2 linked regions of the Alligator mississippiensis genome follow. The protein of the gene in region 1 binds, or shares a complex with, the protein of each later gene. Links are inferred from orthologs where the notes say so. Each region holds a gene or a part of one and is shown on either strand. Other genes may lie near its edges. The genes, in order: BBS7 and ARL6.

The links.
Region 2: the proteins of BBS7 (region 1) and ARL6 are in contact, whole or in part, in a cryo-EM structure (PDB 6VBV), measured with the Bos taurus proteins. The link is inferred for Alligator mississippiensis from reciprocal best matches to the Homo sapiens genes BBS7 and ARL6. Residues at the interface, in NP_001178275.2 of Bos taurus: Leu3, Ile249, Val250, Gly251, Asp300, Gly301, Tyr302, Asp303, Thr319, Glu320, Pro321, His323, Lys324, Glu325, Ser326, Gly327, Pro328; in NP_001069250.1 of Bos taurus: Met132, Asp133, Arg135, Thr139, Ser140, Val141, Ser144, Trp157, His158, Ile159, Cys160, Ala161, Asp163, Lys166.

The regions. Positions count from the first base shown.
Region 1 is NC_081825.1:114,625,364-114,635,919, reverse strand, and holds the start of BBS7 (Bardet-Biedl syndrome 7 protein), read left to right. Parts: upstream 1-6,454; 5' UTR 6,455-6,522; coding exon 6,523-6,570; intron 6,571-9,331; coding exon 9,332-9,397; intron 9,398-10,107; coding exon 10,108-10,170; intron 10,171-10,556. Other genes in the region: TRPC3 (short transient receptor potential channel 3), read left to right, coding at 1,809-1,884, 3,914-4,056.
Region 2 is NC_081824.1:266,180,142-266,189,966, forward strand, and holds the start of ARL6 (ADP-ribosylation factor-like protein 6), read left to right. Parts: upstream 1-4,995; 5' UTR 4,996-5,062; intron 5,063-9,825. UniProt on the Homo sapiens protein: Involved in membrane protein trafficking at the base of the ciliary organelle. Mediates recruitment onto plasma membrane of the BBSome complex which would constitute a coat complex required for sorting of specific membrane proteins to the primary cilia.

The sequences.
Region 1 (10,556 bases):
TCATGTTGACTTTTGGCTATTTTTTTTCTCTTGAAAAAAATTGCTTAGGGTAGGTTAGTGGCTATCAGAGTTCAATACTTTGTGGGATGCCTGATTCCAGTTCAGCCTCAGGATGCTTACTCCTTGGGCTGAATGTGCTGAAGTGAAGCTCTCATCCTTTGGGCAATGGTACATATTTAGGGGCAAAACCTGCTCCCATAATTAGTTGCAGAAGTCTTCATACACTGTAAAATATCATATTTCTGTTGCAGTGGGGAGCTGCCTGCCTATAGAAAGTTTGTAAGCACATCATCCATAAGACAGCATCAATACATGTGTATGTGATTATTTCATGTCCATCTTATGGATAAGCCAGTGCCCAGTAGATGGCACAAAGTAGTTTTTCACAGCAGTTTCAAGAGGGATGGAATAACGTAACTCGTAACTGGGGGAAGTGAAGGCAATGGCTGCAGAGCAGCAGCAGTGTTCTGTGCTCTGGGATTGGTGGTGTCCATTCCTGCTGACTTTGTACAAGGCATGCTACTTATTAGGCTCTGCACACAGGTCCATAATTAAAATATTAAGCAATAACAATAAGTACCAGGTGTTAATTACTGGCTGGAAGGAGCTGATGATAACAACCCCATCTAGCCATTAATCCCTGGGAAATGACCTGTGCGTAGGACATTATTGCTAAATCCTGCAGTTCTTTTCAAGCAACACTTGGCTCTTTTACCAAGTGCAGCTGATTGACCTATAAGGTGAAATAACTATATAAGCTTGTGTGGATATTGGGCAATATATTTTTCAGATAATTTTACAGGTATTATCTACAGCTAGTTCAAATTTATGAATCACCTCTCAACAGCCTATTCAGCATATAATGCATTTTGTCGTCTGATCAGTAAAGAGCAGCTTTACAGCCCTGAGGAAGGTTGCAAGTCCTCTAAATTGCAGGTTATGTGCAGTGACACAGTTATTGTGGCACAAAGTGGTAGTACGAGACCTTAATAAGTAAAGGATGGGGAAGGCAACTCATAAGGAATGTGTGAATGGAAAGGCTAGTTATGACTGCCAACATACAGAGTATGTGCTGTAGATAAGTTGAACAAGAGGTTAGTACCTTGTTTGCAATTTAATGGAAAATATTTTTATTTTGGAAGACTTGGGCATTTTGTGGTAAAAAAGCAATATTACCCTCTTTGCAAATTTTGCAAAATTTTAAGTGTTTTCCATTTTAAAAAATCAACACATTTTCAAATAAATATGGCTTTCCAGAAAAATCACAAGAACATTGGAAGTGTTACATGATTTAGGTATGAAAAATTTTTGTTGCATCTTTGAAACTGTTTGAAGCAACAATTTCCTGAAAATGTTTTCATAAGTTCTGCACATCTCCCATTAAGATGCTTCTTGGGCTGAGCTATAGATGAGAGGTAAGTGGATGAGGAAGGAATTATGCTGCATTAGTTTGTCTCAGAGGTGCAACTGGCTGCTTGAGCCCCCTGGGCAGTAGCCAGGCATGGGGCAGTGTCAGTGACTGCACTGCCGGGGATGTGACAGTGGCAGCAGTAGTGGAAGAGGCTGGACTGGCAGTGTAGCTCCACTCTTTTTGTACCTCTCCCTTCCCCCACCTAGGGTTGGCAGTGTACCTGGGCCTGGTGCCCTTCCCCTCCTCCCCCAACACTTCATTATACTACTGCTTGTCCCACCAAAAGCAAAGATAGTGTTGACCTCTTGGCTTTTACAGGCTTGCTGAAGAATTTTAGTGAATAGGATGAAGTTTGTCTAAATGCTTAACTGATTATATAATGATTTTTATCCAACAGCAAATCATGAAAAGACTTATAAAACGTTATGTTTTGAAAGCACAAGTGGACAAAGAAAATGATGAAGTAAATGAAGGTGAGAGACATTGTAAACAACACTTTCTGATACTGTTATGGAGAACCATACTATTATTTATTTTACTAGGTGCACTTAGCACAAATATGAAGTGAGAGATAGTATTTGCTACACAGCATATATAGTGTCAGTGGACAAGATGGATAAAGATGGGAAGAAAGGAAGTATTATTGTCCCCATTGGGACAATACGGGAACTGAAAAGGTTAAGTAATTTGCCCAAAGTCATGCAGGAAGTCTGTGATGGAGCAAAGAAATGGACTCAGCTCTTTTGGTCTAATACTTCAGCCATAAGACCACCTTTTCTCTCCATTTCATCTCAGCTGAACAGGTGGTATTGTATCATGTGTATGATTTGTTTCCTCTCCTCCATAAAACCATGCTGAAATCACATTCAGCTCTAAAGTTCCATGTCTCTGATAGAACGACGTCAAACTAGCTATGTGGTATGCTGAGAAGAGAGAAGCTGTGGTCACAGTTCATCTGTAGTCCAGAGTTCTCTGCAAAATGATCAGACAGATCTTTAAGTATCTTAAATCTTAAACAATTGAAGAGCTGCTCTCCTATTAGGCTTGAAAATAAATTGCTACTATATACCATCTATAATATTTTTTAATCGACAGGAATTTCAGTATGTTTGAGAACCAGTAAAATACTGATGAAGGATAAAGATAAAATATTTGAAAACATTTAAGCCCCAAATTCTAGCAGTAATTAAACAGACAACTCTTGGTGTGTCCTGTCATTGAACTAATAAGTCCCACAGGTGCTGACCGGCTAGAAGTTGCAAAGAGTTGTACAAAAATAACAAACACAGTGTATAGTTCAAGTGGGCATTTTTAACCAGATGCCTATATGTCAGTAGTTGTATCAAGAAAACTAAAGGTATAATCTCATTTTGGTATTTTTTGGAATTTGGTATGTACATACAGACATATCTTCTGCAAAGCAGGAGAGATGTGACAAAAGGATAGTGCTTTGTCACCAAAATTCTTGAGAAAGCACAAATCTTCTGGAACGATTTGCTTGATCATGTATCTGCCTATGGAGTTTAGATCAAGTATTCAGAACCCTGAACCAAGTCAGGAGACCTACTTGTGGTCTCAGCTTTTTCACTGATTCTCCTTGAGTGACCCTGGGCAACTTGTCTGAGCTAAAACTTCCAATTCTTCAGATATAATATAGAGATAATATACATTGTGCCATATTTACCTCATATATTGTGAAGTTTAATTCTGGGTTTTGAAGCATGTGAGATGTAAAGCACTGAGTATGTTATGAATAGAAAACCATCTATAATTGCTAAGTATTATGATTCTTGCAAGTATAGGAATCTGGGGAGTCCACTTAATTTTAAAGTAAACCATATAACAGAACAGCATAGGTCTTATTTTATACCCTACACAACACACATCAAACAGTTTCCTGTTGGGTAGCACATAAGAATGATCAGAATTCATGGCTGGGAGAAGAATGAACCCAAGAAAGATTCCATCCTTGAACTGAGTGCTCTTCAATAAATGAGTGTTGTTGTTGATGATTAATCTAGACACTTTTTGATCATGAAGGTTTCAATTGAAGTGCTGTGTCAGTACTTTGGCAAATTGTAGCAACAATTTAAAAATACTGAATTTTTCTGTTTCTAAGGATGTGTGTGTTATTGAAGAGGACAGTCTCAAGAGATGTGAGTTGCAAGTGTGGCCAGCTCTGCCACACTTTTTCTGTGAGACCTTAGCAAGTCATGCCTTGCTGCTTCTTTCTAAAATGGGGATACTAATACTTACCAGCCTCTCAGCAGTGTTGCTATGATTATTCGTTAACATTTGCAAAACACTTTGAGACGCTAACATGCTCTTTGTACGTACAAAGTACAGTGTCACTATGTTTCACTGAATTATTGAAATTCCAGTGTACTTACGGGCGTCTGGGTAAAAATAGTTCTGAAACATGCATTGCTTTGACAACAAAATTTCATGTAGTGAGTGTTTGATAAACAATGCTTAAAATATTCCCTTCATTAATTGATATAGGTGAACTAAAGGAAATCAAACAAGATATCTCCAGTCTTCGCTATGAACTTTTGGAGGACAAGTCCCAAGCAACAGAAGAACTTGCAATCCTAATACATAAACTCAGTGAGAAACTAAACCCCAATATGTTGAGATGTGAATGATTCTAGAAATGATCCTTGGCTTCAACTACAGCACAACTGTTTATTGGCAATAATATTTCTGAGTATCTTATACTTGAAAAATATATTGTAGATTTTTAGCACTAAATAACTTTATGTAGAGCTTCTTTGAAATTTAACCTTAGGAAATTTTATTAATTTACCACACAAAAATACTCTGTTCATTTTAAATGTACTGAAATGTAAGAACTCTCATGACATTGTTTGCATTTATTCAGCAGGAGAGTACAAATGTATCTGAAGAATTATTTCATTGCTGTATTTCAACAGTTTTATGAACAAACTTTGAAAATTATTTGCACTTTACAATTTGCAAAAACAAAACAAAGAAACATAAATAAAATCTACAGAATGCACTGCATAGTACGCTATTCCCTGAAACAACTGGTATGAGCAAGATATACTATACAAGGAATAACCAGGTGGGCCATGGTAAAGGATTGCTCAAATGTCTTTTATCAATGCTAAGAGTTATAGTTGAAGAATAGGCACTTGAAAGTTTAAAAATAGATATCAAAGTCTGAATATAATTTTAACAACACTGTTTAACATACAAATACTGTAGTTTGTTTCATAATATGGCAGACTGTTTGCTTTCAATGCTGGGGCCTAGAGATCCTTTTTTTAAACAAAGCAACTTTTGAATGTAATGTGAACTGTCAAAAGCTACACTTTCATGTGGTAGAGATGATTTTTTTAAATTCAGATTCTATGCAGAGCTGGTATTTTGTTACACTGTTCTAAATGATGCCTCTGATGCTTACTTGTTAAATAAAAAAATTCATATTTAAATGACTCCTTACCTGGTCCCAATAGTCCAGAACCAGATTTTGGACTGCATGGTAAAACTGTACAGCAGTCAAATATAGGCAGCACTTGTGGTGTCTACAATTAAGGTTACCTGATGTTTCCTATTATAGGACTATTTTTATCAATGAACTTTGCCAGACTTGAACTGCTCGATATTTCCACGCAAGCCAGACATTTTATAATATAAAATTATAATAGATAATAGTTATTTTTGCCTAATGGAAACTTACATATACACACACGTGATGCTGGGCAGATATTTATATATTATTTAAGTATATTATGATATTATTATTAATTAAATAATACTATATACATAGATACATACAAAAAGTTCCTACATGATGCTGGGTAAATTTTTTTTTTTTTATTTTATTTTTTTTTACATGTGTTCCTCATCTTCAGTGGGAGTGGATAACATTAAATGTCTTGGATCTGATTTTCAGAAATGCTGAACATACAATGAAAGCCCTGTTCTGAACACATAAGCCACTGAAAAAATACCTGAAAAATACCAAGGCCCCTCAAACCTAGCATTCAAACTTCATGGGCCCGTTTCACAAGATTCTTGCTAGGCCTTTCATCCCCACCCACAAAAAAGATTCAATACTGCCTCACAGAGGCCATGAGAAGCTAAGAGAATGATTGGGAGAAACCTCAAGACACTATAATGATGACGAGCTCCGTATGAAACCCCCCAGATGGAACTTAATAAGGCAGCAATCCTGGGCACGGATGAGGTTTACTACAGTAAATAAAATGTGGCACCATGGAAATTAAATTAAATCCTGAATTAGCTGCTTACACCGTGCAGTGAATGAGGTGGTGGAGAGGGGCGGGGGGTGCTAAGCTGAGGTTCTCATGCAAACTCATCAGGGAGCGTATTAAAGATGCATTTCCCGACTCGCCCTTGACTTTGCAACCTCCCTTTGCAGCACTGTCTCCATGCAGCGCAGCACGTGGCTGCGGGCCCTCCGCTGTGGGCACAGGTCTCAAGTCACAAAGCCCGCCCTTCCTCTCTCGTTTCTTTCTTTCTTTCTTTCTTTCTTTCTTTCTTTCTTTCTTTCTTTCTTTCCTTCCCTCCCTTTCTTTCTAACCCAGCAGTTTCACCGATGTCAACAGTCACAACGCCCTTTCCTTTTCTCTGTCCGTCTGCCTAACCCGGTGGCTCTCGACCTTGCCAGGCTCCGGGAACCCTTGCGAGATTCAGGGCGCCGCTCAGAAGACGCAGCTCCGAGCTGCCCCCGGCTGGTGGAGAAGAGAAACACCCGGTAGCAGCAGCCCGGCCCCGGCCCCGCCGCACGCACACGCCCCGCGCGGTTCCTCGCGGGGAATCAAGTGACAGGCCGCCCAGCTGGGAAAACCCACAGCACTCCATACAGCGGGCGTGACGCTTTAACCAATCCCACAGCACGTTTCATACTTGCCCCCTCGCCCTGCCCAATGCAAGGCACGTTTGGAGCGATGCTTTATCCAATCCCGCAGCACGTTGCATGCCCGCCCCCCCCTCTCCCTGCCCAATCCGAGGCCGGTTTAAGGTCCCCTCCCCGTCTTTCGTCGTGTTTCCATGGTAACTAGCGCCACCACCTCCGGGCCTGAGCTGAGGGGCCCGGGGAAGCCTCCGCCGCCGCCGTCGCCATGGAGCTGGGCCTGGCCCTGGCTCTGGCCCGCGTGGATTACGTGCAGGTGACCCACGAAACCAGCCCCCGCCCCGCGCTGCCCGGCGGGGCAGAGCTCTTCGCTGCTGCGTCCGGCGCGGGTTGGAGGGTTTTTGACTGGGCGATGCCAGCGCTCTTGCTGGGGCCCAGGCTGGAGGGTCCTGGCTACAGGGTCGGGCTCCTCTGCTGAGGTCCGACTGACAGGCTGCCAGATTTGTGGCCAGGGAGGAGTTTGAATGCCATGGCCGGATCGGTTCGGGCTGTGGGGGGTTTTGCCTCCCTCCGTAGCTGGGGCCCGGGCGGGATCTCCTGAGCCTACGTTGACAGTGTTTCGTAGGAGCAGGCGTTTGGCTGCTGTGGCACCTCGGCTCTGGCAGGGTGTTGGGGCTGCGTGGTGTTGGCAGGGTTTCCTGTAGGCTTGTGCAGAGTTTAGATCGTGGTTTATTAGGGGATGGGTTGGAGAGGGATGGTCCTTCCTTAGGCAGGGGAAGGAGGTCTCTTCCAGCCCGACTTCTCCCGGACACCATGATTTGATTTTTCTTATGCTGCCACTTGCTTTATAGGATCAGCAGTCAACTTGGCAGCAGTGATAGCATCATTAACCACCCCTTGCCTGCTCACAGCTTCTCCTTCCCCATCCAGAATAGCAGAAGTTGGAGTTACAGTCCCTGGAGGGACCTTGTTCAGTTTGTACTTGCTGGATCTATTGTTTTAGGCCGTCTGCATCGTCATAGGATTATTGCAAAGTAGGATCTGGAAGGGGGCTGTGGACCAGCAGGGTTGGGGTGGGCTGTGGCTTGGGAGTGAGGAGCAACAGCATGGACAAGGGCAGGGCACTGGCATATCAGCCCTTTGTGCTGCTGCTGGGCATGGGGGTGAGCCCCATGAGGTGCAGCAACACTTGAGCTTGCAGCTGGGCGGGGTGGGTAGTGCAGTGGGACTCTTCCTCTTTGCTTGGCACTGGGGAGGCTGTGCCTGGAGTCCGGTGTCCAGTTTTGGGCCCCTGCTACAGAAAGGATGTGGTCAAGCTGGGCAATGAAAATGGTTCTGAGCCTGGAACACATGACTTGTGAAGAGAGACTGAGGGAACTGGCATTATTTAGTCTGGAGAAGAGAAGACTGAGAGGGGCCTTAATAGCAGCTTTCAACTGCCTGAAGTGGGGTTTGAAAGAGGATGGAGCTAGACTGTTCTCAATGGTGGCAGATCACAGAACAAGGAGCAGCGGTCTCGAGTTGCAGCAAGGGACGTTTAGGTTAGATATTAGGAAGAACTTTCTCACTAGGAGGGTAGTAAAACACTAGAACAGGGCTGGGATGGCTGAGAGTCAGGAGTGAGGGGCACTGGCAGGGCCAGGAAGCTATGGGCTGGGAGTGAGAGGCAACAGTTTGGTCAGGGCACTGGCATATCAGGGTTGCTCAGCACCACAAATTTGCAGGAGTTACAGATACAACTGAACCTGTGTCCTGGTGAGCAAAGGGGGCAGGCAGAGCTCTGATTTTCAATGGTACAAAAACCAAAATCGAACACCAAAATAAATGGGTACTTGTAATTTATTTTATTATAACGATTGAGGCACTGTTAGGCTTCTAAATTGCTTTAAAATTGTAACTATATCAATAAAACACTGTGTTCAACTGATATGTGTATATAGATATATAGATAAAAATGAAATGCCACTTTTATATATATAAATGCCATATATATATGAAACATCACTTTTATTTATAGATATAGGTATAAGTGGCGTTTCATTTTATCTCAGAAAAAATGTGGATTTTCATTTTTTAATCAGAGAATTTGTTTTTGGTTTTTAAATTGGAGAATTTGTGATTTTTAAACAGAGAAAACCAGGATCGCAGCTCATTAATAACCATCTTTTAATGATTTGATTCTTTCAAGTATTAAATCTGTTTATGCTTGTTTATTTATCAACTTCAAAAAGTTGTCAATGGGACAGGAATTCACATGTCTAAGGCTGCTTGAAGATGTTTAAAAAATAAAAAAGTGGCATTTTACTTTAAACTTGGCATGCTCCTGCACTGAGCCCAGCATGTGCCGGGAAGAGAGAGTGCGTTAGCTGGACCTGGCTCACCCAACCTCTGTATAGGTTGTGTACACTTTAGTGGGGCTTTTGGGCATTTTTATCTAGTAGTTGATTGAATCAGTTTTAGCTAAAAGTGCCAAAAACACCCAATCTATAACAACACTGCAGAGCCAGGTTAGAGTAACGTGCTGCTGCTTCTGGTAAAGTGTGCTTTTGTTTTGTTTTTTTAAGGTCTGGAAGCAGACTAAAACAGTTGCCAAAACTGGTAATTAGATTTGTTCAGCAAATGCAAAGCAATGCAGCTTTCAAGTAGTTGACCAGTCTACTATGACAAGTCTTTCTGTATCAGAATTATGGCACATCTTTTCTGTTGTGCAAGCAGTCTTGAATTTGTGGATAAATGTGTGTGCCACATATCTGGAAATAGTCTCCAGAGCTGTTAAAAAGGCTGGTACTTTTACAAACACCAATACATGAAAAATGTAGAATAAAAAGGATGGAGAAAGTACAGAGGTTAAAGGTGTACAGTGTTTAAAGGTGACATTTAAATATATCTGTGAGTTCTATGTCGTAGAATATTAGGGTTCAGCGTTCAGGTAGTCCCAGCTCACCTGTTGTATAACTCTGGTTAAATAGAATATTCTCCACAATGTATATAACAAGAAAATGTTATCCCTAAGACTTTTTTTTTTGAAGTGTAGAAATTGGAATGTTTTCCATAATGTGGTGATTTTTTTCAAATAGGTGGGAGTGACATCTCAGAAGACAATGAGGCTCCTGCCAGCATCAGGACGTAGGGCAACACAGAAGGTAGTGATTTTCTAGAAGTGAAGAGTTTGTTGTTTCTAAATTGTTCGTTTTGTTTTTTCTTACAGATTAATGTTATCAATGCAGTACAGATTATCTTTTGACCTCTACTTGGGAAATTGAACACATTTTCTCCCAGTTCATGCTGTTTAAAGATTTGCTGATACCCTTGTTTGTTTGGTGGGCTTTTTGGGCTGTTGTTTGTTTGATGTTATTAGCTAAGAACCATTATGGAACATGAGAGCTTTTAACAAAATGTTCTTGTAACTACAGGTTTATGATTTCTTTGTGGAAAGAGAATATTGGAACAGGCAAACTCTGGAGAAGCAATGATGTATTTTCTTTCGTAAATTTTTGGTAACAAAGAAATAATACCGTCAAACACAGGAAAACCTTTTTTTTCCCCCAAAATGCTTTTGAACGTTTCTGTTGAGTGATAGCTGGACTTCAATCAACAATTTTGAAAAAAAAATATTATTAACTTATGGTAGTAAAATAATTGTTAAATATTAGATTCCTGAATTATAGGACTGTATTAGTCTTTATAAAGTGCCCTGTCATGCCTTATTAACATCACTTAGTGTGGTGTTTGGTAATGGTTACTTTCTGTGCTACAGATCCACATAACTAATATAAAGAAAATTCTTCCTTTTAAAAATATCTATAGGAGGAATGCAAAAATAATTAAGCTACTTACACGTTATATTTTTAAGGTTGTTATTGGAGATCATGATGGCGTAATTACATGTTTTGGCATCAAAAAAGGAGAAGCTATGGTAAGTTCAGCTATTTATGTAGTTAATGTGATTGTTTGTGGTATGTAGGTTTTTTTTAATCCATTCCCAATCAGGAGGCACTACTTCACTGTCAGGGCGGCTAGGAGCTGGAAGCAACTTCCAAGGAAAGTGATGCTTGCCCCTACCCTGGGGGTCTTCAAAAGGAGGCTAGATAGCCACCTAGCTGGGGTCATTTGACCCCAGCATCCTTTCCTACCCATGGCAGGGGGTGGACTAGATGATTGGTTAGGTCCCTTCCGACCCTACCAGCTATGAAACTATGAATAGTGTACATAATAGCAATTAAAAGCCAGCTGGGGTTGAGGAGAGGAGAAAGGTAATGAAGATACATTAAGATACAAAGCTGAACATCCTATGTTAGTGGT
Region 2 (9,825 bases), on another chromosome or scaffold:
CATGCCTACAAGTTGATAGTGTAATAGAACGCTCAGCTCTCAAAACTAGGGGGTTTTTAAGATGAATTGCATTACATATGCCATCTATTTGTGGAAAGAATATGGGGTTTGGCAAAGCTACCTGCTGAGCAACATAATAAGATTTTTGTACAAAGTACAAGTTACTGATTATTATTGTATTTTATTTTTCTATGATTTCCTAAGAGGCATTATCAGGGCTTACAGATGCGGTAAGCCTGTTTATTAAGATATTTATTAGCAAATAAAAGTTACAGTACTGGTGGTTATGTTTGAGTTGATGCTTTTTATTGTACCTTAATTTATGCATATGCTATGCAGCGCAGCCTGTCATACATGACCCTGAGGGGGAAAAAACACAGTTGCCTAACATATTAAGGTGTTCTAATAAAGATGGATCAGCACTGCATTCCATGTTTTGAGATACTTCAGGGTGGGGGGTTTCTTTTTCCTTATAGCAGGAGATGCATTACTAGAGTGGACTCTTGTATACCTTTCCATATAAATTTTGTGCTCAGATAAATGTCTTTACAAAGTACGCATATTGTTGATAATGTTATTAGAGAACTATGCATACAATAATGATGCTCAAACTGCAGCAATCAGTAGGCTCTATTTCCATAACATACAATCTCCTGCATAAGAAACACTACTTATCTTCATTGGAATACTTTTTCAGTATGCTATTAAAGCTCTGTAACAGGGCTGTCCATTTTCTATGTAGCCTGGGGCCATTGGCTGTGCAGGCCACACACCCATGGCCATGCTAGGGTGAACCCCAGGCCACACACTGCATGGGGCCTCTTCCCACACTGACTGCACCATGTATGCTCCCCGCCCCCTCCGCCCCTGTTACACTGTGTGCCTACAGTTACCATATTTCCAGTTTCAAAAAAAAGGGACACCTGTGGGGGGAGGGGGTATAATATGATTGTGGGGGGCAATGATATGCCCCTGCCCCTACCCCTCACTCCCAAGCCACAGCCTCTCCAGCCCTGCTGGTGTCTATCACTCCCAACCTGCATCCCCCTGCTCTCCCCAGCCCTGAAGCATCTCCTAGCTGCCCTGGCCCTGCAAACAAGGGCACCAGCCCTGGTGCCACCAACCTGGCAACACAGCTTCCTGATGGCCCCAAGGGGTCCTCGCCCAGTTTTCCCCACTAATGGGGCAGGCACATCCCCCAAGCCCTGCTGCAGTCCCAACACCCAGACAGCTTCCCCCAGTGTTGGCAGGCACCCGCCTCCTGCCTCCCCTCACACACCTACCCCCTCCACATACCCTGTCGTATGCATGCACATACACACACATGCACACATATACACACAGTCCTCTGGACAATCCCCAAGCCCTGGCCCTCCAACCCTGACCCCATAAACCTACCTGCATGCAGATGCCAGGGCTTCTCCCACCACCTTGCCTGGCTGCATGCAGACTGCATGCATGTGTGCATACAGATGCACATGACACCCACTGCTCCCCCCAGCCCCAAACAGCTCTTTGCTAGGTCAAGCTAGGAAGTGCCAGGAGAAACTATGAAGCTGAGCAGAGCAAAATCCCAGACATTTTTTTAAATTAAAAAAAACTGCCTGGACAGAGATGGGAGGACCCAAAAAGAGGAAAACCCAGATGTATAGTAAACTAACTGTGCCTGCAGCTCCAGGCTCACCCTCAGCTCACTGCCGTGTCTCTTGGGGCAGGGGTAGTCAACAGAAGCTGGAGGGAGGAGAGGGAGACTGGAGACTGGCTGCAACAGCAGTGGGAAGGAGGGGCAGCAGCCAGGCAGAAACCAGGGGCTGCATCTTAACCTAATGGGGGCTGCTGATTGAACAGCCCTGCTCTATAATATTGGTGAGCCTACATAACCTAGGTCTTTGAGAACAGGTTTACACTAACAAATGCTATTCGTGACCCCCCTTCACTCAAATAGCAGGACAGACATGACTTTCCAGCAGCACAATGGCAGCAGGATTAATCACTAACAAATATAACTTGAATATAGTTATTGCCTTATTATTCAGAAAATGCCACAGCTATACACACTGCTTTATAACTGGTAAAATGCAAACAAAATACTCAGTCCCTGTCTCCAAAAACTTGAAAGGTAAAAGTAAGAACTTCTTGTATATGCAGTATAAAATGTAGTGATGTAACTAAGGAATGGGATGCTGGGTTTCTACAGCTAAACTGGCAGTCCTAAACCAGGAAAATTCCTAGAATAAGGGCTGTAGGATTTGACCCATGAAGCAGAATGAACAAAGTGAGCTTTGCCTTAGAAGTTCTGATTGCAGTGAGGCCTTTGGTCCCATTTTTTTTCTTCTGTGTGTACGGAAATATAGATGCAGACTAACTTTAATCTGGAAACCAGGAAAATTTCTCTTGCACTTAAACTTAGCCCATATGCTGATTAGGTTTTACGTTGTTACCAGCTCCTGTGATCTTTTCACGAGGCTCATCATGATGGTTCCTTTTTTAATACCTCAGCTTCCTAAATGAAGTCATTATGGGTGAATATCAACTTCCATTAAAACACAGCGATTGGCCCTCCCAGTTGCAGACGGGAGCATGAATATGTGACACCCCCCCAAACGAATAACTCTGAAAACCTAACAGAAAAGAAAATTAAAAGAACCCCAAAGGTCTGTGGGCTTCACATAAAATGTAAGAACTGCCATATACTAGGTCAGACAATATGTCCATCTTGTCCGGTATCCTGTGTCACACTGTGGTAGGGAGTGGATGCTGAAAGGGAGAGTGAACTAGATATGTCCAAGGTTTTTTCCACTGTTCCACTCTCAGTTGCAACCTCCAGCATTTAAGGTCTAGGAAGTTCTGATTCACAGGCTGCACCCCTAACCCCCATGCTCAGTAGCTACTAATGCCCCTTTCCTCCAAGAATTTGTCCAATCCCTTTTTGAATCTGGCTAAACTGTCAGCTTCCACAACTTCTGATGGCAATGAGTTCTACACTTTAATTACATCCTGTGTAAAAAACAGCTTTCCTCTGTTAGTTTTAAATTTACTAGACACATCTACACATGCGACTAATGAACACAAAGAAACCCCAGAGCTTATTGGTCCAGAGTTTTTTGCTCCCAGGTACACTGTTTGAATCTGTACCTGGGAGCAAAAAAATCCAGAATATGTTTCTCCAGAGTTTATTCATGTGTAGCACATAGAACCCAGTTGGAGCAACCCAGGCTGGCAGGGAACCCAGGGGGTCAGAGTGCCAGCCAAGGACTGGTCCAACAGGCCTCCATGTGCTGCAGAGCAGCTGGCTGAGGCATGAAGGTGCTTCACTGTGGGGCTAGCTGGCAGGCAGCCCAGGGCTGGCTGCTCCAATGGGGATCCATGTGCTGTGGAGGGGCTCACCGAGTCATGAGGGTGCTTCAGTGCAGGGGCTGCCCGCTGGCTAGCCCCACACCAAAGCACCCTTGTATCCCAGCAAACCGGGACAGTGTCTACATGTGAGCTGCTGCACATGGAAAGACTCTGCAGCAGGTTACAAGTCCTAACCTGTTAATTTGCTTTGTGTGCCGTAATAGGGGCACACAGAGAGGCTCTGAGATCTTTACGGAGCATTTAATCAGTCAACTGCACAGTGAACGTCTCATGTTAACATGCCCCTAGCTACTAGTTTCATTTTATGACCCCTAGTTCTTGTATTGTGAGAGAGAGCAAATAATAAATCCCTATTTACTTTCTCTTTGGCATTTAGTATTTTGTAAATGCTTATCATGTGCCCACTCAAATGTCTCTTTCCTAAACTGAACAGTCCTAGCCTCTTTAGTCTCTACTCATATGGAAGCCCTCCCCCCCATACCACTAATCATCGTTTCTAAAGAATTTTTCCAACTATTTAGTTGGTCTAATAAAAGATATCCCATCTACGCAAAGCACCTTGTCTGCCTCCATTCTTAAGCCAACACGGCTACAACCAACAACACCTTAGATGTGGAAACTCAGTGGTATTTGTACAACGTCCAGGAAAAAAAGCTGTACTTTTAAGTTGCTCATCCTGGAAGAAGGAAACTTTCCACGTGTCACACACACAGGCTGTCTTTGCCTGCATGCTGTAGGTTTAAGTCTTCTTCTCCACCGTGGCTAGTCTGGAGTTACCACAGCATATCACTGTTTTTCCCTAGATGCTATTCGTCTGTTCAGTCTCCCCTCAGACACTGAGCACCAGCCAGGGAGGGACAAGGGAACACTGTGGCTACTCCCCCTCTTAACACGGAGCTTCCAGGACACCTGTGCTCTCATTTATAGACCTGAAAGCTGCTCACCTCTGGCAGCTGGGGCCTGGCACAGGGGCAGCCAAAAGTCTAGCTTTTGCCCTGCTCCCCTCAAACCGAGCATGCAATTCTCCCCTCCCCCTGCCTCTATGCAAGCTGGTGTGCATCACTGGGTGGCTCACCACTTCCCTCCCCATAGCGCTGGCAAGCTTAACACTGGATGCTTGTCTAAGAACAGATGTGGGGTTGAACCCGGGACTGATTTGACTCGCATGAAAACAAGGGCGGTGGGGCACAGTCCTTTACCCAGGCAGCTTGCAATAAGCCACCATGAGCAAGCGGACTTCATGTGGGGACTTCAGGTGGGGCAGCACAGAGTTGGCCTCTCGCTGGTGGAGCCCAGGACCAAAGGAAGGGGCGTGCTGCTAGCCTTAGAGGCCGACAAAGTTCTTTGGGTAAACCCGGTATCTTTTATGGAACCAACTAAAATAATTGGAAAAATTCTTCGTTGCAAGCTTTTGGGCGCAAACAGACTTCTTCAGAAGCAGAGCTTCCCACCAGGTCCAGCTCCAGCCCCAGACGCCCCTCCTGCAGCACAGGCACACAACGCCTCAACGGCGATTAGCTGTGAGTATAGAGGTGCTTGGGACCACGGCGGGACTACTGCCTGTAACCGCGAGCTTCGAGGAAGGGGCGGGGCTTGCAGGCAAGGCGAGAGACGGGGAGAAGCGCGTCGCGTCAAGGGGCGGGGCTTAAGGCAAGGCAGCGGCGTAGTCTCCTAGGTAACGACGCAGGCGGCGGCGGCGAGTGTGGTGAGTGTGAGTGTGAGGGCGAGGGCGAGGGGCGCGCGCTGGGGTTTGTTCCCCTTCTCCCGTGGGCCGGCCCCTGCTGACCGTTACCGGCCCCCGCGGGGGGAGGGATGGGTGCGAAGCTGCCCGGTGCCGCCGCCGCCTGCGCTCAGTCTCGGCCCCAGGGCGCTGCGCTGCGCTGGCGGCTCCCTCGCACTCGCCCGGCCTGCCCCCCTCACCATCCCGGGCCGAGCCGCGGGGCGGGCAACCACGCCGCTGCCCGCAAATCCGCGTGGGCGCAGGCCCAGGCGCCCACAAGCAGCCCCACACAGACCCATGCCGACAGCCGGAGAGACCCCACAGCTGCCCACCTGGACATAGGCGTGCCCCAAACACCCACATAGACATGTCCACAGACACCCACACAGGTGCCCACAGAACTGATGTGCCCACAGACTTCTACAGACAGCCCCACAGACCCCTGCATAGACACCCACAGAGAGCCACCCAGATGCCCTCAAACACAGACACACACATAGATGTGCACACAGACAGATTGCCACGCAGACCCCCTCAGACACATGCCCACAGACACAGACCCACACAAATGCCTACAGACCTGCACAGCCACAGGTGCCCCCACAGCAGCCTCTCCTTTAAACTTCCCACGCTGGCTAGTTCCAGGTCTCTCTGCCTCCCCTCCCCACCCAGCTTTCCAGCCCCTTGATCCTTTCTCTTCTGCATCCTTGTGGATCCTCTTCGGTTTCTATACAGTCTTCTTCCACTGCAGAGAGCCTGCAAGTTATAATGTGGTCCTTCAGCGGAGGCCAAGCCATTCCCTTGCCTTGCCTAGCATACTTCTGTTAATATGGCCCACAGTTGCCTTCTCTTTTTTTCATTTTGTGCATGCGACTGTTGACTCCTCTCAAGTCAGCCCCTGTCTCACCCCACCCCATCTTGTGTGCCTGTGTTTGTTCTCCCTTTAATGGGAGCACCTTGAATGTTGCCCTACTCAAATTTCGTTCTGTGCTATTCACAGTATCTGAGCACCTTACACACAATGATTTTTATCCTCAGGATAACCCAGGGAGGTGATGGTTATTACCATCTTGGTCATGGGTGCTAGAGGCACAGAGACATTTAAATGCCCATTTGGGGCGCCTGCTCTGAGATGTCCTGCCCATCAGTGACTGAAGTCATAGCTGAGTCTGCTATTCTCCTTCCTTATCAATTTGGGGAAATCTGCCTGCAATAATCTCTGGTTAATTTGCCAATTCAAGTGGGGAAAAGCAACATAATTAGTGTTAGGTAGCAAGTTTTATGGTCCAAGTAGGTGTTCCATCAACTACAGTTGAAGCTGTGAGTTCTCATTGTTTCTGCCAATAAAGTTGGTGCCCCAAACTCCAATATGAAGTTGGTGACCTTTTGCAACAAGGTACAGTTAAATAACTTGTCTGACATCACTTAAACATTCTCTGGCAAAGGCAAAGTTAACTTTCTAGGTAACATGCATGATAACAGTGCAGAGAAGTTCCACATTCAACAAATAACTTCTCTGAGGTGAGGCTGCTTTTTTATCACATGATAAAATGAACTTCTGGCATGTTACTGTTTATCATGCAATTCTCATGTTAATCGCACAGTAAATATAACATCTGCCACGGGCATGAGGTAGCGATCTTTTGATCTGACCCTGAAAGTACCCTTTCTCATCCAGTGGCCCTGTACCTAATGCACTTCCAACTCTGTAGCAAATGCTGTGAGGTCCTACAAAACAAGCTTCTTTTACTGTGGGCGCATCTACATGAGATGCTTTACTCAAGATTAGCACAAATTACTGCACAGTAAGCATCACTGTATACATATGCAGACGCTTACTGCAGAATTGTTTGCACTATTTGTGAGTGCATTTGCTACCTGTAAATACAAGTAGCAAATTTTGTTTGCAATTACTTATTGCGCAGTAGCAAACATGTAGATGCTGACCGGGAACAAATTTGATCCTGGTCAGCCTCACCACTAGAAGGCCAGCCTCAGCCTAGCCCTAGGGCTGGAAGCCTCTCCTGCCCCAGGGCTGAGTCAGCTCTATTCCTACCACAGCCCCAGGCCCTTAAGAGCCTGCAGGGACACTGGGACCCAGGGACACTTGCTGTGACCTCTGCTGGCCACCATTTCCCCCAGGACAGACCCCAGGGCAGCTGCAGCAGCCTGCCAACACCCCAGTGCTACTCCCTAGCACCATATTGCCAAGGTTACCCCATCTAGCTGCACAGGGAGCTGCAGGCACCTGCAAGGCCTGGGAGCACCTGGGGCTACCTGCAGCCAGCTTGTGGCCACTGGGTCCCACTCCAGCTAGCCCCAGGTTACCCACAGCAGCCTGCCTGGACCCTGCACCTGGTGCTTGGCACTGCCTGGCCCATGCACCAGCCTGTCCTACACTGTGCCCCTGCACTGCACTGCACACCCATGGCCAGGCCTGGCAGCACCAGGACTGGCACATGGAGGCTCAGCAAGCCATCGTGGGAGCCATTCTGGCATCCTCCCTGGCCAAAGCCTAAAGGCTCATGCCACCTCCTAGGGCCCCAACTGGTCCCAGGAAGAGACTGCAGACCTTGTGGTGCTGCGGGACAAGTCTGAGGTCCTCAGCAAGTTTGCATGGAGCAGTTGATCCAACATGCACACTTTACAAAGGGCTGTCAGGTCACATTTGGGAGCACGGACACAACCAGTTAGCATGTCAGTGTCACACAAAGGTCTAAGTCTTGTGGGCACAGTGGGTCACGGTCACTGACCACAGCTGCCAGGTGGGGGCTGTCCACAAGTCCATGCCCTTTATGCGGCAGCTGGATGAGATCCTCACTCCCTGGGACCTTGGCCGCAGCTGTGCCACCTGTTCCAGTACAGGCGGCTTGCTCAAGCCTCCTCTCAGTCCAGCTTCACCAGGGTGACCTGGCACTGGGGGAGGGCCCCCCTGACCTGCCAGGGGGCCATCCCACGACACTCCCCACCCCCAACATTGTCGAGCAGCTCTGGGAGCCTGGGCCAGCTCTTGCCCTGCCAGCTCCGCGGCCTCAGCCCCATGGTGGTGCCATGGTTGCCCACAAGGCCAGGGCAACCATGGCACCACCAGCAGCTCTAGCTTCTCCCTGGAGAGGGCCTCTGCCCATGCAGCTAGATGCCATGGCCCTATACCCTAGGACGCTGCCAGGAACTGCATGTCCTCACCGCCAGCAGGGATTGACCCAGGCTGCCGGGCATGCCTGCCACATCCACATCATAAGCCCCACAATGGGGAGAGGGCCATCCCTGCCCTGTCCCGCTTCCCCACCAGGCCTGGCCGCACTCCCCTGGCCCCAGGTTCCCCTCCCCCAACAGCACACAGGGAGGCAGGAAACAGTGCAAAACCTTATTGAGCAGCCTGTGCCTCCACAGCTAAGTGGGCATGGGCCTCTCACATCCCAGGAATGTGTTGATGCTGGTGGCAATGTGCTCCGTGGCTGCTGGGGGACAGGGACATGTAGTACAGCCACAGGGAACCCTCCAGGTGGCAACGGAGGTTGTGGGGCAGCAGGGGCTTTCCTGCCACGCCATCAAGACTCATGTGACAGGACGGGGTCTGGGCGGCAGTTGTGTGGCAGTGAGGAGGCCTGGGACGGCATGGTGAGCCAGGGCAAGGGGGCACTGGATGTCCCTTCCAGGGCTGGGTGGTGAAGCAGCCCTGGTGCAGGGAGGCAGAGGCTGCAGTGACAGCTGCCGCATGCTGCTTCTGTCCAGAAAAGTGGCTGACCAGATAGGGGGTTGCCAGATAGGGGGTATGGGGTTGCCTTTTGAAGACAACTGCTGGCCACAGGCAGCTGCAGCTAGAGCCTTCAGCTCCTGGTGGCGAAAGGTGCTTGGTGCAGGGCTACAGGGACTGAGATCAGACTGCTGCCAGGAGCAGTAAATCTGCTCTCGCATCTCTGCACAAGTAGAGGCGGTTTAGAGTAAACTGATCCTGCATTATTTGCACATGTACACGCACCATATGTTCCTTAGTCACTTCCATTGAATAAGGAGTTTGAAAGCAGAAACCACTGTACAGATCCACTTTTCCCCTTCAGGTATGTCTCAGTGGTTCAAGGCAGACCAAGTCTGTATGGTGCTTATATGTCTTCAGGGTTCTGCACATGCCAGCTTTAGAACTGGAAGCAGTAAAATTGTGTTTCTGTGGTTTGGTGAATATATTTGTTAACTTGCCGAGCAGAGCGTGCGTTTTGTGGGATGTCTGGACGTTGCTGTCTTGTGTCAGGTGTCCAACTGAGAACCCATGAGGGGTTTTGGACCCCAGGCTCCCACTTGGCTGCTGATCAGCAACTGCTGGATCACAAGTTGCTGAGCTACACTGTCCCAGTGAAGCCTGCTTTTGTCCTGGTGCATTATTGCAGCCCCTCTTCCTTCCTTATCTTCCAAGTGTTTCACCCAATCTCTAACACTTTCCTTCAGCTAGGTTATATAAAGGGGACACTTGGGGTTGAAAGAGTTCGAACCAAATAATGAAATGTATTCTTGGCCCTGTTTGTGCTCAGTCCTTGGCAGGGTCTTCACACCTAGGCTCTGTAGAGTGCCAGGAAAATAAGAGCTTCTGTCCAATGTGGGTGAAATGAACTTGAGTATGAAAGCTTGTGCTCTGTTTTTATCTTAGTCTTCAAGAGGTGTGTATCTTACCTGCCTTAAGCCAGAGGTAGTCTCTGGAAGCGAATCTACACCATTTTCTCTTGCTAGGCATACTTCCCATCCAGAAAGCCCTG